Alligator mississippiensis: one gene and its partners. The protein of the gene in region 1 interacts with the protein of each later gene in a biochemical or structural test. Links are inferred from orthologs where the notes say so. Each region holds a gene or a part of one and is shown on either strand. Other genes may lie near its edges.

Region 1 (3,749 bases):
GCCCAGCAATAAAAAAAAGCCCATGCAATAACAGGCTTGGGCATCCATAGTTGAGCAGCTGCCCAAGCCGGGGACGGACTGCTCTGGTTCTAGAGATGGATGCCCAGTACTTGCTTCAAATCTGGTCACGGTGATTGACAGGGCTAATTCTGTCTGTCCTGGTCCATATTATCATGTAATCATTTGCACATTGCCTGGTACACATCTTCCTCTGCCTGCCAGGAGTTATCTTCAGTCTCACTCAGGCCTGCCTGGCTGCCCATTTTCCTGAGTCAGAACTGAACCTCCCTGTGCAGTCAGCACTAGCCCGGGCACCCCCGGCCTGGGGGAAGCTCCCTCCCTCTCAACCCTGCCCTGCCTGGGGGACGGCAGCCTGAGGATGCTGAAGCTGAGCAGAGTTGGGGGAGGGCCGTGGCATAGCAGCATGTGCAGCATGTTTCCCCCGCACGCAGCGTGTGGAAGGCAGGGTGCTGCCCACAAGCAGAGGGTTTCTTTGCACTGTGTTTCTCCAGAAGCCCCTGATGGAGCGGTGCATACCTCCAGGATCTAGTCAGCTCTGCACCAAGCCCTCAGGATGCAGCGGCCCCGCTCCAAAGCCAGGAGTAGGAGACCTGTGAGAGCTGCAGTCCATCCAGGGACAGCGGTGCTGACCAGGCCTGCTCTTCCGGCACGCTGCACATCTGCTGAGCAGTGATTTTTATCAGTGTGTGTGTGCCCGCATGTTCACAAGCAGGTGTGCCTGCATGTTCACAAGCAGGGTGTGTGTGTGTGTGTCCACAAGCAGGGGATATATGTGTGTCCCCACAAGCAGGTGTGCCCGCATGTGCACAAGCAGGGGGTGCGTGTCCGTGTCCCCACAAGCAGGTGTGCCCACATGTCCACACCGGGGTGGGGGGGGAGGGTTGCCACAAGCAGGTGTGCCTGCATGTCCACAAGCAGGGTGTGTGTATGTGTGTCCACAAGCAGGGTGTGTGTGTGCCCACAAGCAGGGGTGCCCACATGTCCACAAGCAGGGTATGTGTGTATGTGTGTGTCCAAAAGCAGGGGTGCCCACATGTCCACAAGCGGGGGGGATGTGCGTGTGTCCACAAGCAGGGGGTGCGTGTCCCCACAAGTAGGTGTGCCTGCATGTCCACAAGCAGGGTGTGTGTGTCCACAAGCAGGGGTGCCCGCATGCCCACAAGCAGGGTGTGTGTGTGTATCCCCAAAAGCAGGGGTGCCCACAAGTCCACAAGCAGGAGGTGCATGTCTGTGTCCCCACAAGCAGGTGTGCCCGCAGGGTGTGTGTGTGTGTGTGTGTGTGTGTGTCCACGAGCAGGGGTGCGTGTGTGTCCCCCCGCAGGTGTGCGAGCGGGTCGGTGCGGGGACTACAAGGCCCACGAGGCCGAGCCGGGCGGGCTGGCGGCGCGGGGGCGGCGGTGGGAGCGGGGCCGGGCGGGCCGGGCCGGGCCGGGCCGGGAGGGGCGCGGAGCCGGGAAGGCGGAGCCGGGAGGAGCGAGCGGGAGGCGGCGGAGGCAGCGCCGGGACTCGGGCACCGGCAGCGGCCGCGCATCGCCCAGCTCCCGCAGCACCTCCCGGCCCGGCCCGGCCCGGCCGCACCGCCCCCCGCATGGAGCCGGGGCTGTGACCGCGCGGCCGGGGGGCTGCGCCTCTGCCCTGCCTGCCGGGGCCGGATCGCGCCGGGACAGGGCCGGCCCGCACGGTGAGTAGCGGCGGCGCCGCGGGAAACTTTGCGCCAACTCGGAGCCCGCGGCGCCTTTGTGCGAGTGCGAGCGGGCGGCCACGTGCGCCGAGCCGCCGGATCGGGGCCGCGGGCTCCGGGCCGGCCCCGTCCGAGGTGCTGCTCCCCGGCCGCGCGGAGGCGGCTTGGCCCGGGTCGGGCTGGCAGAGGGAGCCGCGCTCCCGGCCCCGCTTTGTTCCCCACACCCGGCCTCGCTCGCTCCTGCTCTTGGGTGAGCAGATCCCTGCCTTGGGGCCCGTGCGGAGGTGCTCCCCCGCGGGCTGGTGAAGGGGCCTGCGGGTACCCGGCTGGGCGCGAGGTGCTTGGGGGGATCTGTCTGCTGTCAGAGGCACTTGGTTCCTTTCCGGGAACACGGGTGTCAGGCGGCGGGGAGGGGACGCGCCTGGGTTTGGGGGCCGTTCTCCTGCCCTCTCCACCTGGGCCACATCTGCATGGCATCCTCAAAAGAGCAAAACTGCTGGGAGCCCTTCCTGCCGGCACTTGGACCCAGCAAGAGACGTAGTGCGTGCCAGCAGCAGGATTTTTGCGCTGGTGAAGATGAACCGGTGCAAAGTGAGCTTTGGACTCTGAGCGCGGCGTGCGACCGCGGAGTAGCTGTGATGGTACCGGATTCCCGGCCTGGCCTGCGGAGACCGAGCCCAGCCGCCTCTGCGGCAAGGGCCTGGTGTGTTGGGCAGTTCTGAAAATCACTGTTGGGTGCCAAGTGGCCTTCTCAGGATTTTGTCACAGGTGTTAAGAGAACCAGGGTGTTTTTCTTCAAGTCCCAGGGCTCGGAGTCCTGGGATTATACTGGCTCCTCATTTTGTTTGTTTAAAGTACACTTCTGGCCCTTACATGGCAGAGGGAGGTAGCAAACACAAGCCCTACAGGCTCAAAAATCAGCAGCAAATAGGAACCTGATGTTTACCTCTCTTTAAAACAGTGTGATTTGGAGAGGGAGCTGACTTGCGCTTCTTGACTTCTCTCTTTACAACCAACTGGGACTGTTCCCTTCCCAAATGGCCCACCGCCAGATGGTGAGGGTCTGTCATTCCCTATTCAGAGCCGTTTGCAGTTTTCGTTGGAGAATCCCTCTTGTTCGGGAGTGGTGAATGCTCGCTCCGGGCTGGCAAGCCGTTCCCTTGGCTGGACGTGGTATAGGGATCTAACCCACCCAGTGCATCAGTCAGCTGCTATTTTCAGAGGCGAGATTTGCAATTCTCCTGTGCTGGTTCGTTGTGTGAACCACCCCAGTGGGGATGAGGAACCACTGTACCTCTTCCAACCAAACCTTGAGTCACGTAGTTGCTTTTAACCTATTCAGTTCCTGCTGTTAGCGATTGAGGGTGCCTGTTATTGCTCCTGTGCCGTGTTTGGAGGCGGTGAATAACTAACTGATGTGCTGTGAATGGACAGGGGGCAGGGGCAGCTGTTCTGGTTGAACATACCATTTCCTTTTGGTGAACGTTTGAACTTTAAGACGTGCTTTACCCCCGCCTTGGCTGATACAGTGTGTATGCTGCGAAGGGTTTCATTTCCCAGCGTCCCCAACATGGGGGAAGCCAAATTCGCTCTCAGACTTGAACAAACCTCGCTGCTCCAGCTCCCCTCAGCTCCCACCAAGGCAGTGTGCAAACAGAGGTGTGTGTGTGTGTGTGCTTGTGTGCAGGAGACGGGGTCCTGCCAAGTCTTGAGAGATCAGTGGAGAGGGCCCTTGCTTTTTGCTGGGGCTGACAGCCATTTTTCCCCACACAGAAGCACTTCCCCTCTTAATCTCCGGGGTGGCTGGCACGCACCGGTGCCTTTCCATTGTCTTGCTCGGAGAGGATTAAAATAAATCAAGACAGTCCCTGCCCTGGAACGGTCAAGGAAGCAGCAAGGCTCTCCTCCGGCTCCAGGCTAGCAGCCGTTTTCCTCGGGACCCACAAATCTGTCAGCATTGAACGCTGGCTGCCTGGTGACTTCCATTCCACTTTACCGGGAGGCGCGCGGGCTGGAAGGGAAGCCCGAGCTGCTTCCAGGATCTCAG
Region 2 (3,749 bases), on another chromosome or scaffold:
AGCTCCCAATCTGTGGTTCGGGTACCACCGGTGGTACGCAGACAACCTGTCAGTGGTCCCCATTAACAGATTTATTATAATTACTTTATATAACAAAAATTTGCTGGTGGTACTTAAGGTTGTATCATTTTGAATCGGTGGTGTGCAATCTGTCAGAGTTTGGGAACCACTGGAGGCAAAAGGAATCAAAACTCGTGGCAGAGGTGAGATTTTTTTATTAGACCAACTAGATATTTGCAAAAAAATGTATATATATGTTTGCAAGCTTTTGAGACAGGCATGTTTCATCAGGCATAGGAGATTGCAAAGACTGTAGAAATTGCAGAAATAAAAATTCATATTCATGCCCAGCATGGCACTTGTCATTTTTAATGCCATGCCTTATATGTGCTTGTGGCAGGCAAGGTTCTTTGTGTGGATGCAATTTCTTTTAATAGACCAATTAGATATTTGCAAAAGAAATCTTTATTTGCACGCTTTCAACACAGGCACACTTCATCAGGCATAGGAGACTAAGTAGAAATCAAAATTCATATTCATGCCCAGCATGACACTCGTCATTTTAAATGACATGAATATGTGCATGTGGCAGGCAAGGTTCTTTGGGTGGATGTGATCCCTTTTACTAGACCAACTAGATATTTGCAAAAATAATTCAGCTTTCCGCCCAGGCACCTTCATCAGGCATGGAAGATTGCAAAGCTTATTAAAAGTTGCAGAAATCAAAATTCATATCCATGCCCAGCATGACACTCGTCATTTTAAATGACATGACTATGTGCATGTGGCAGGCAAGGTTCTTTGGGTGGATGCAATCTTTTTTAATTAGATATCTGCAAGAAAATTGTCTTTATTTGCAAGCTTGCAACACAGGCACATCTCATCAGGCATAGGGAATTGCAAAGATTGTAATGGCACGGATATATCAGGCGAGGTTCTTTGGGTGGATGTGATCTCTTTGATTAGCCCGACTAAAATTAATGTGCATGCATCCTTCTGGAGAGGGGCAGACTTGCTAGCCGTGTTGGTCCGAGACAAGTTTTTTGTATGTCACTCCGGGAGCTCCCTGGCAAAGCCAAGCCAAGCCAAGCCAAGCCAAGCAGCAACCCCCTGCTGTAGATGCGAGTGAGTCCCGGTGCAGATCCAGACCATCTTTTGCAGGCGGCTGCAACCGTTTCTCCCGTGTCTCTCTACAGTACCTCCTTGATGCTTATTGCACTGTACTATTTGTGGCCAGCATGGGTGGAAGAACACAGTGAGGTGCCACCCCCTTCTCCCTTCCAACCCCACCAAAGCAAATCCAGGACGGCGCAGGGATCTCTGTTGTGCGTGTGTGCTGAGGCTGGGACTGTCACTCATTCTCTGATCAGCTCCTGCAAGCAGCTCGAGAGCAGCTGGCAAAATCCAATAAAAAAATACCCCGAACCCAATTTGAACAAAACAACAACAACAACAATAATAATCCTTAAAAAAAAAATAAAAAATTTGCATTGCATCTGAATGCCCATCTGCACCAGCTCCTCTTGAAGGAAACCTATCTATATATATTTTTGCAAGCAACTTCTCCATCAGCAGATTGCAATGCTGCAAACTAAGGATCTCATCTGGGCTTTATTTTTCCTCGGGACTGCAGGTACGTGCATCTGTGTTATGTGGGGGGAGATGCATGGGGGTTGCTAATGAAGAGGGGGGGCATTGCATGTCTGAGGGGCTGCTGGTGCAGCTGGAGGCTGCTGTGCGCGAGCAGGGAGGCAGTGGGCTTTGCTTTTGTGTGTGTGTGTGTTTCCTAGAAGCCCAGAGCTTGCACAGATTTATGCCCCCCCAGGGCATGGCAGGGGCTGGAGCGCTCCCTCCTTCATTGCTGCATTGCTGAGGCAGGGGGCATTTTTCTTTTCTTTTTTTTGGGGGGGGGGGGTGTGTGTGAAAAGGGGCTGCCTGCAGCTGAGCACACAGCAAACAATGGAGACTTTTTCTGGGGGGGGGGAATGCCCACAGTGGAGATACAGCGTGAGGGGCTGAGAAAGAGGAGGATGCTCTTCCTCTTCGCCTGCAAAAGGTGCGGAGATGCCGCGCGATAGGGGAATCGCTCTGTGCGTGTGTGTGTGTGTGTGTGGGTGGGGTGGAGGGGGGAAGGAATGGAACGCGGCGCAGCCAATCAAAGCCCGCCGGCCCCGAGCGGGAAACGCCGTTAGGGCTCGGGCCCCAACGTTCGCCGAGGCTCCGCCCCCTGAGGCTGACCCCCACTCGCCTCAGTACCTCCCCTCGCATGCCAGCTTCACCTGAGGGGGGCTCGTATTGTGGCCAGGCTGCCCCATGCATTCCCCTCTGTGCCCCTGCCCCGTGCACACCCCCTGGCGTGGTAGATTGCAGAGATTTCTAGGGTCAGAAGGGACCTGTCCAACCCCCTGCCCTGGGCAGGAAAGAGCACCAGGGTCAAGTGACCTCATTGTGGGGCTCCCCTGGAGATAGGTGCCCATCCGTGTGTGTCTGCCCCCCAACAAGGTGCGGCTCCCCTGGAGCTGGGCGCCCACCCGTGTGTGTCTGCCCCCTGGCATCATGCGGCTCCCCTGGAGCTGGGGTGCCACCTCGCCCAGTCAGCCATGCACAAGGGCCCTGCCGCCCTCCACAGCAGCTGGAAAGTGGCTTGTCCAAGCCCCATGCACTCCAGCTTGCAGCTGCTCCCATCAACCTGCCCCCGTATGTTTGCCCCCCAACTTGCCATCGGGATCCTATGTCTGGTCCACGGCAGCCCTCCCCCAAATCCTCAGCAGGAATCTCCAGCTGCCATGGCACAGCCCTGCCTTTGCAACACACCTGTGCTCCTGCCCAAAACGACCCCACCCCACCTTGGTCGCAGCTGTTCCCACTCCCCAGGGTCTCATCACCGGCTGACGGTTCTTGCCTGTGTCTGGGCAATCATGGCTACCGCTGCTCCACCCATGTTCAGGACCAACCACCGTCATTTCAGGGATTGCATAATTACTACCGTCCCTAATCGGAGCTGCCAACAGGCACCCACAGTCACTGCCTTGTCCTGCTTCTGCTCCTGACACGCCTGAAACGCACCCCAGCTACAACCCCATCCCATGTTACTATACAGCTTCCTCCTAACCTAGGCATTGCTCTAAAGCTGCTGTTTGAGTGGGTTTTTTAATGTGCATTATTCCCCATTAGATTAAAATCCCAATAGGGAGAGTGTTGACTCCTCGCTGGATGCTCAAGGCTTAACACTACCATGCTCCCCCGCCGCACCCTCTGCTCGCTATCACCAGGTACCTTCTTCTTCTCCCCCTTTATCCAGCTAGACACCTCGCTTTCCCCAGCCACCACGTCACACATGCATGCATGCAAAGCTAGACACCTACCTTTCCCCAGCCATTGCACACACAGGCACATTCATGCAAGGTATTCTCAATATGTGGAGGAGGAAGAAAGTGGGTTTTCCAACACATAGACTGAGGTAAGCAATGCTTTATAAAAGGGAAATATATATACATGCACATATCACCTGCTGCCCCACTCAAAAGGTTATTTTTCCAGTAATAACATTAACAAATGCCGGAGTGCTTAAGGAGCGGCAAGGATCGAATCTGACCGTTAAGTCAGCCTTGTATGGAGAACGGAAAAAACCCCCCCCAAAATATTAAAAAGCCCAAACAAAGCAACAACACAATATATAATACAAGCAACACCCAGCCCACCTCTGGTGCCTTCAGTCTTAAGGGATCCTGCTTTAATTTGCTGAGCCC
Region 3 (3,749 bases), on another chromosome or scaffold:
TGGGGATTGTTTTAAGTTTCCAGGTGCAGTACTGAGAATATATTTCAGCCACGAGGAAAAATACATGGGAAATGCAAATTTAAGGGTTGTGAAAAGTCTTGCACAATTTGATTTCCTCCTGCCTCCCGGTTGATTTTGATCAGACCTCCTAATTAGCCATTTAAACAAAAGAAGACAGTAGTCTCACCTCTCAAGTCAAGGAGAACCTAAAACAACAGCAAAGGATAATGGGTAAAAATGAAAGCAAAACCTCCTGAGGAAGTGAGATACTCTCGAAAATTGGCTATCACTAAAGGAAAACAGAGAGAGAGAGATTATCACAATTGGCTACAGGAAGGCTATGCCTGGGTTTTAAATCAATTTTTTGAAAACTGACACTGGTACAAAAGGAGGGGAAGTGGCTGTCTTTTTTCTTCTCTCTCTTCAATATGCTACCAAATGTCCAATCTAGCAGATATTTGAGTATGCACATGAATAAAACCTAGGCACCTGCTTAAGCATTTGAAGCATCAAAGCCCTAAAGACCCAAGGTCCCATACTCTGATCTTCACTTGCTTCAGTAATCCTTGTTTTTCTGAGTAGACCTTATTTGTCCAAGCAGTCCCAAAGGGGACAACATGGCTACTGACATGTGTATGGATTAGTGCAGTGAGTGGTCAGCTGCAAAGTCAGATTCCCACTTCTACACTCCTGACTCAGTAAAAACTCCCCGTGTAGCTAGTGAGATTGTTGCCTGAGCAAAAACTGTAGGATGAGACCTTCCATCAACTCTCTATCTACAGCATTTATTGCTATAGGCCATGGCTCAGCAATCTTGAGGCTAGCCAAGAACACCGCCGCCAAAATGAAAACTGTCTTCCTGAAGGTGCAGGCCTGCTATTTGCACTTAGTTACCTCAGTAAGAGGTGCCGTGGATTTGTTAGCTACTTGAAGAAAAGAAGTACAAACCCTGCTGTGTAAAGATTCATTCTCCCCTAACGCTGCCTTGCTCTGTGCAAGTGATCCTAATGTAAACTCAGTGAACACACTGCCGAGGAAGCGGCTGGCAAAGTTTTCATTACTCTCTGGTGAGGTCCATGACTGTTTTTACACCTTCTTCTCTAAATAAGGAAGCCATCTGTGAGATATCTGACCATCCAACTGATCTGTCCCTTTAGCATTCAATACGGCCTACTGACTGCCCAATGAAACCTCATTCCGGCCTCCTGTCTTGGATGACAGTAGCGAGCAGGTTAGTGTTACAGCTGCGGCAAGTGTACCTTTGGCAAGCTGTTGATGTCAGAGTGATGCCGTAGGGTGGGACAGACCCTGAACTATAAAGATAGGTCAATCAAATATATCCAGGCTGCCCCACTGGAGAGCAGGAGCTACAAAACATGGTCTCCACCAGTTTGGGCTCTGCTGGCCTGTCTCTGCTTCCAACCCAACTGCTCCCAGGCTTTCATTTCATGTCAGCAATCCCTATCTGCCTTCCAAAAATAAGCATCTGCCACCATGCTGAAGGGAGAAAAACAAGAAGGGAGGTATTTTTAGGGCCATTAATTCTGACCACGTGCCCAGGAGGTGAACCGGATGGCCATAGCACAAAGACTCCTCATCACTATGTCCTGCGAAGCCAGCGTTCACTGGACGTTGCCTGCTTTTGTTCTTCTGGGTTTTCTCTCTGGGATTGTTTCATCATATCCAGTTGTCAGCAGAACTAACGGCACCTTGCTGGAGAGAGGATGGGAGTCTCTGTTGTCCAGGTCCATTGCTGGGATGTCAGGGGAGAGATCCGAGGTGAACTGGGAGAGTGACTATTTGCTAGGAATCAAGAGGCAGCGGAGGCTTTACTGCAACGTGGGCATCGGGTTTCACCTTCAAATCCTTCCTGACGGAAGGATAAGCGGAGTTCATGATGAAAGCCAATACAGTGAGTTGCATCCAAAAATGAAATAGCATAGATGTCACTTAATTGCAGTGAACTCGAGTAATTACCCTTTGCAGAATGCAAATGTTATTGCTTGATATTCTCAATCTAAGCTACATCTGTTGCCTTTTAAAAGTCTTTAGGATAAATCAGCACTAGAAACCTCCAGGCTAAAACATGTAATGAATGCATGGACAAAATTAGATACCAATTTATTTTTACTCTGCTTTCCTTCCCAGACTAGAAAAGTTAAATCCATTTGCAAACTTTATTTCTGATGCATTTTTCCCTACTCTTGTGCATTTTCCCCTGACATTTGAACCTGGAGGCTTTCATGCACTCACAGATATTACCTTGATTTTTGCCTGGTGATTTTCTTGCACATTGGAGGTGCTAAGGAATTGAAAGTGCACAGCTGTTACTATCAAATAAATAATTTTTACTGTTCATTTGGATTTGTTGAAAAGTGCCATTTACAAGTAGCTGATTAAGGTGAATTTCATTATATAAACCACATTTCTTTTGGCAAGGATGTCACTCTTGGTTATGGCATTTTAAATAGGGATTATTCTTATATAAGAAAGTCTTGGAAAATTTAGCAAGAATGAAACCGGTGAAATTCTACAGAAAATGAATAAGGGTCCAAAGACATTATTATAAAACCCTATAGAATGTAAGATGGACTGAGAGTCTGTTTGTGTGTGTGTGTGCATGTATGTGTATGCGTATATATAGATATAACTCTCTTTCTCTCTCTCTCTCCATATATATATATCTATATATATATGCATATACTTATTATGGATATAATTTTCAATTAAATCCTACACGACATTCTCATATGGATGTTAATAGTTATAACTTAATAGCGCATCTCTGGTTAATTTCTTTTGGCTATCTGTAAAATACATACAATTAAACTTTTATCTGTCTGTTCAGGTCTTTTAGAAATATCAACCGTAGAGAGAGGTGTTGTTAGCCTGTTTGGTGTGAAAAGTGCCCTCTTCATTGCAATGAACAACAAAGGGAGGTTATATGGAACGGTGAGTACAAGTTCAAATTTCTTTTTCTTTTTTTGACGCTTAATAATTGACCAGAATATGGTTACTAAGAAAACTTGGGAATTTTATTTTCCATCACAAAAAATCCCCTGGCAGTGCAACTATAGCAAGCCTAACTTACCATCATCAACAATGTTCATTGTGGTAATTGGCATTGCTGTCAGTGTGCTGTTATCATAAGGCATTCTAAGGAGCACTTAAGAAACATGAACTGGTTAAAAGGTGGCATTGATCACCTTTGAATGGCTGTCTGCATGTAGGCTTGGTCCTGCCAAATCTTCTGAGTTTTTTTCCACTCTGAATGGAAAGAGGGGACACACTGTCTATATGGAAATAAACATCGGAGCCAGGAGGTCTGGTCAGTAATAAAAACACTCCATGAAATTCTTCTAGGGAAGTCACCTCTAAATTCATCCACTTAGGGAAAATGTGTATGCCCCAACAAATTAATTTGTCCCCTTGAAATGGCCTGAGAGCCATATGCATGTGGGAGATCTTCCAGAGGCTAGTTTGGTAGGATAAAATGTAGAGGGAAAAAAAATCTCATCACTAATAAAATTATCCTAGTAACCACAAACACCATCATCATTGGACAAAAGGTATTTGCCAGTAATCACCAAATGCAAATTCAACTTTAAAATCCCTAGCAATGCTTCCATAATTTCAACAACCAGCAGAAGCAGCACCTGCAGAATATTCCAGTTGAAAGGGATCAGCCCTGCAAGAAGCAAGAAGTCTACCTCACATAATGTCTGGAGTTTGCTGCTGTTTCCTTTTTT

What was found.
Region 2: the proteins of FGFR1 (region 1) and NCAM1 form a complex in vitro, tested with the Homo sapiens proteins (2 studies listed by BioGRID and IntAct). The link is inferred for Alligator mississippiensis from reciprocal best matches to the Homo sapiens genes FGFR1 and NCAM1.
Region 3: the proteins of FGFR1 (region 1) and FGF6 interact in a biophysical measurement, tested with the Homo sapiens proteins (2 studies listed by BioGRID and IntAct, with this or other methods). The link is inferred for Alligator mississippiensis from reciprocal best matches to the Homo sapiens genes FGFR1 and FGF6.

What each region holds. Positions count from the first base shown.
Region 1 is NC_081830.1:18,134,921-18,138,669, forward strand, and holds the start of FGFR1 (fibroblast growth factor receptor 1), read left to right. Parts: upstream 1-1,522; 5' UTR 1,523-1,702; intron 1,703-3,749. UniProt on the Homo sapiens protein: Tyrosine-protein kinase that acts as a cell-surface receptor for fibroblast growth factors and plays an essential role in the regulation of embryonic development, cell proliferation, differentiation and migration.
Region 2 is NC_081839.1:32,353,174-32,356,922, forward strand, and holds the start of NCAM1 (neural cell adhesion molecule 1), read left to right. Parts: upstream 1-1,239; 5' UTR 1,240-1,581; coding exon 1,582-1,633; intron 1,634-3,749.
Region 3 is NC_081827.1:142,599,415-142,603,163, reverse strand, and holds the start of FGF6 (fibroblast growth factor 6), read left to right. Parts: upstream 1-1,572; coding exon 1,573-1,912; intron 1,913-2,848; coding exon 2,849-2,952; intron 2,953-3,749. UniProt on the Homo sapiens protein: Plays an important role in the regulation of cell proliferation, cell differentiation, angiogenesis and myogenesis, and is required for normal muscle regeneration.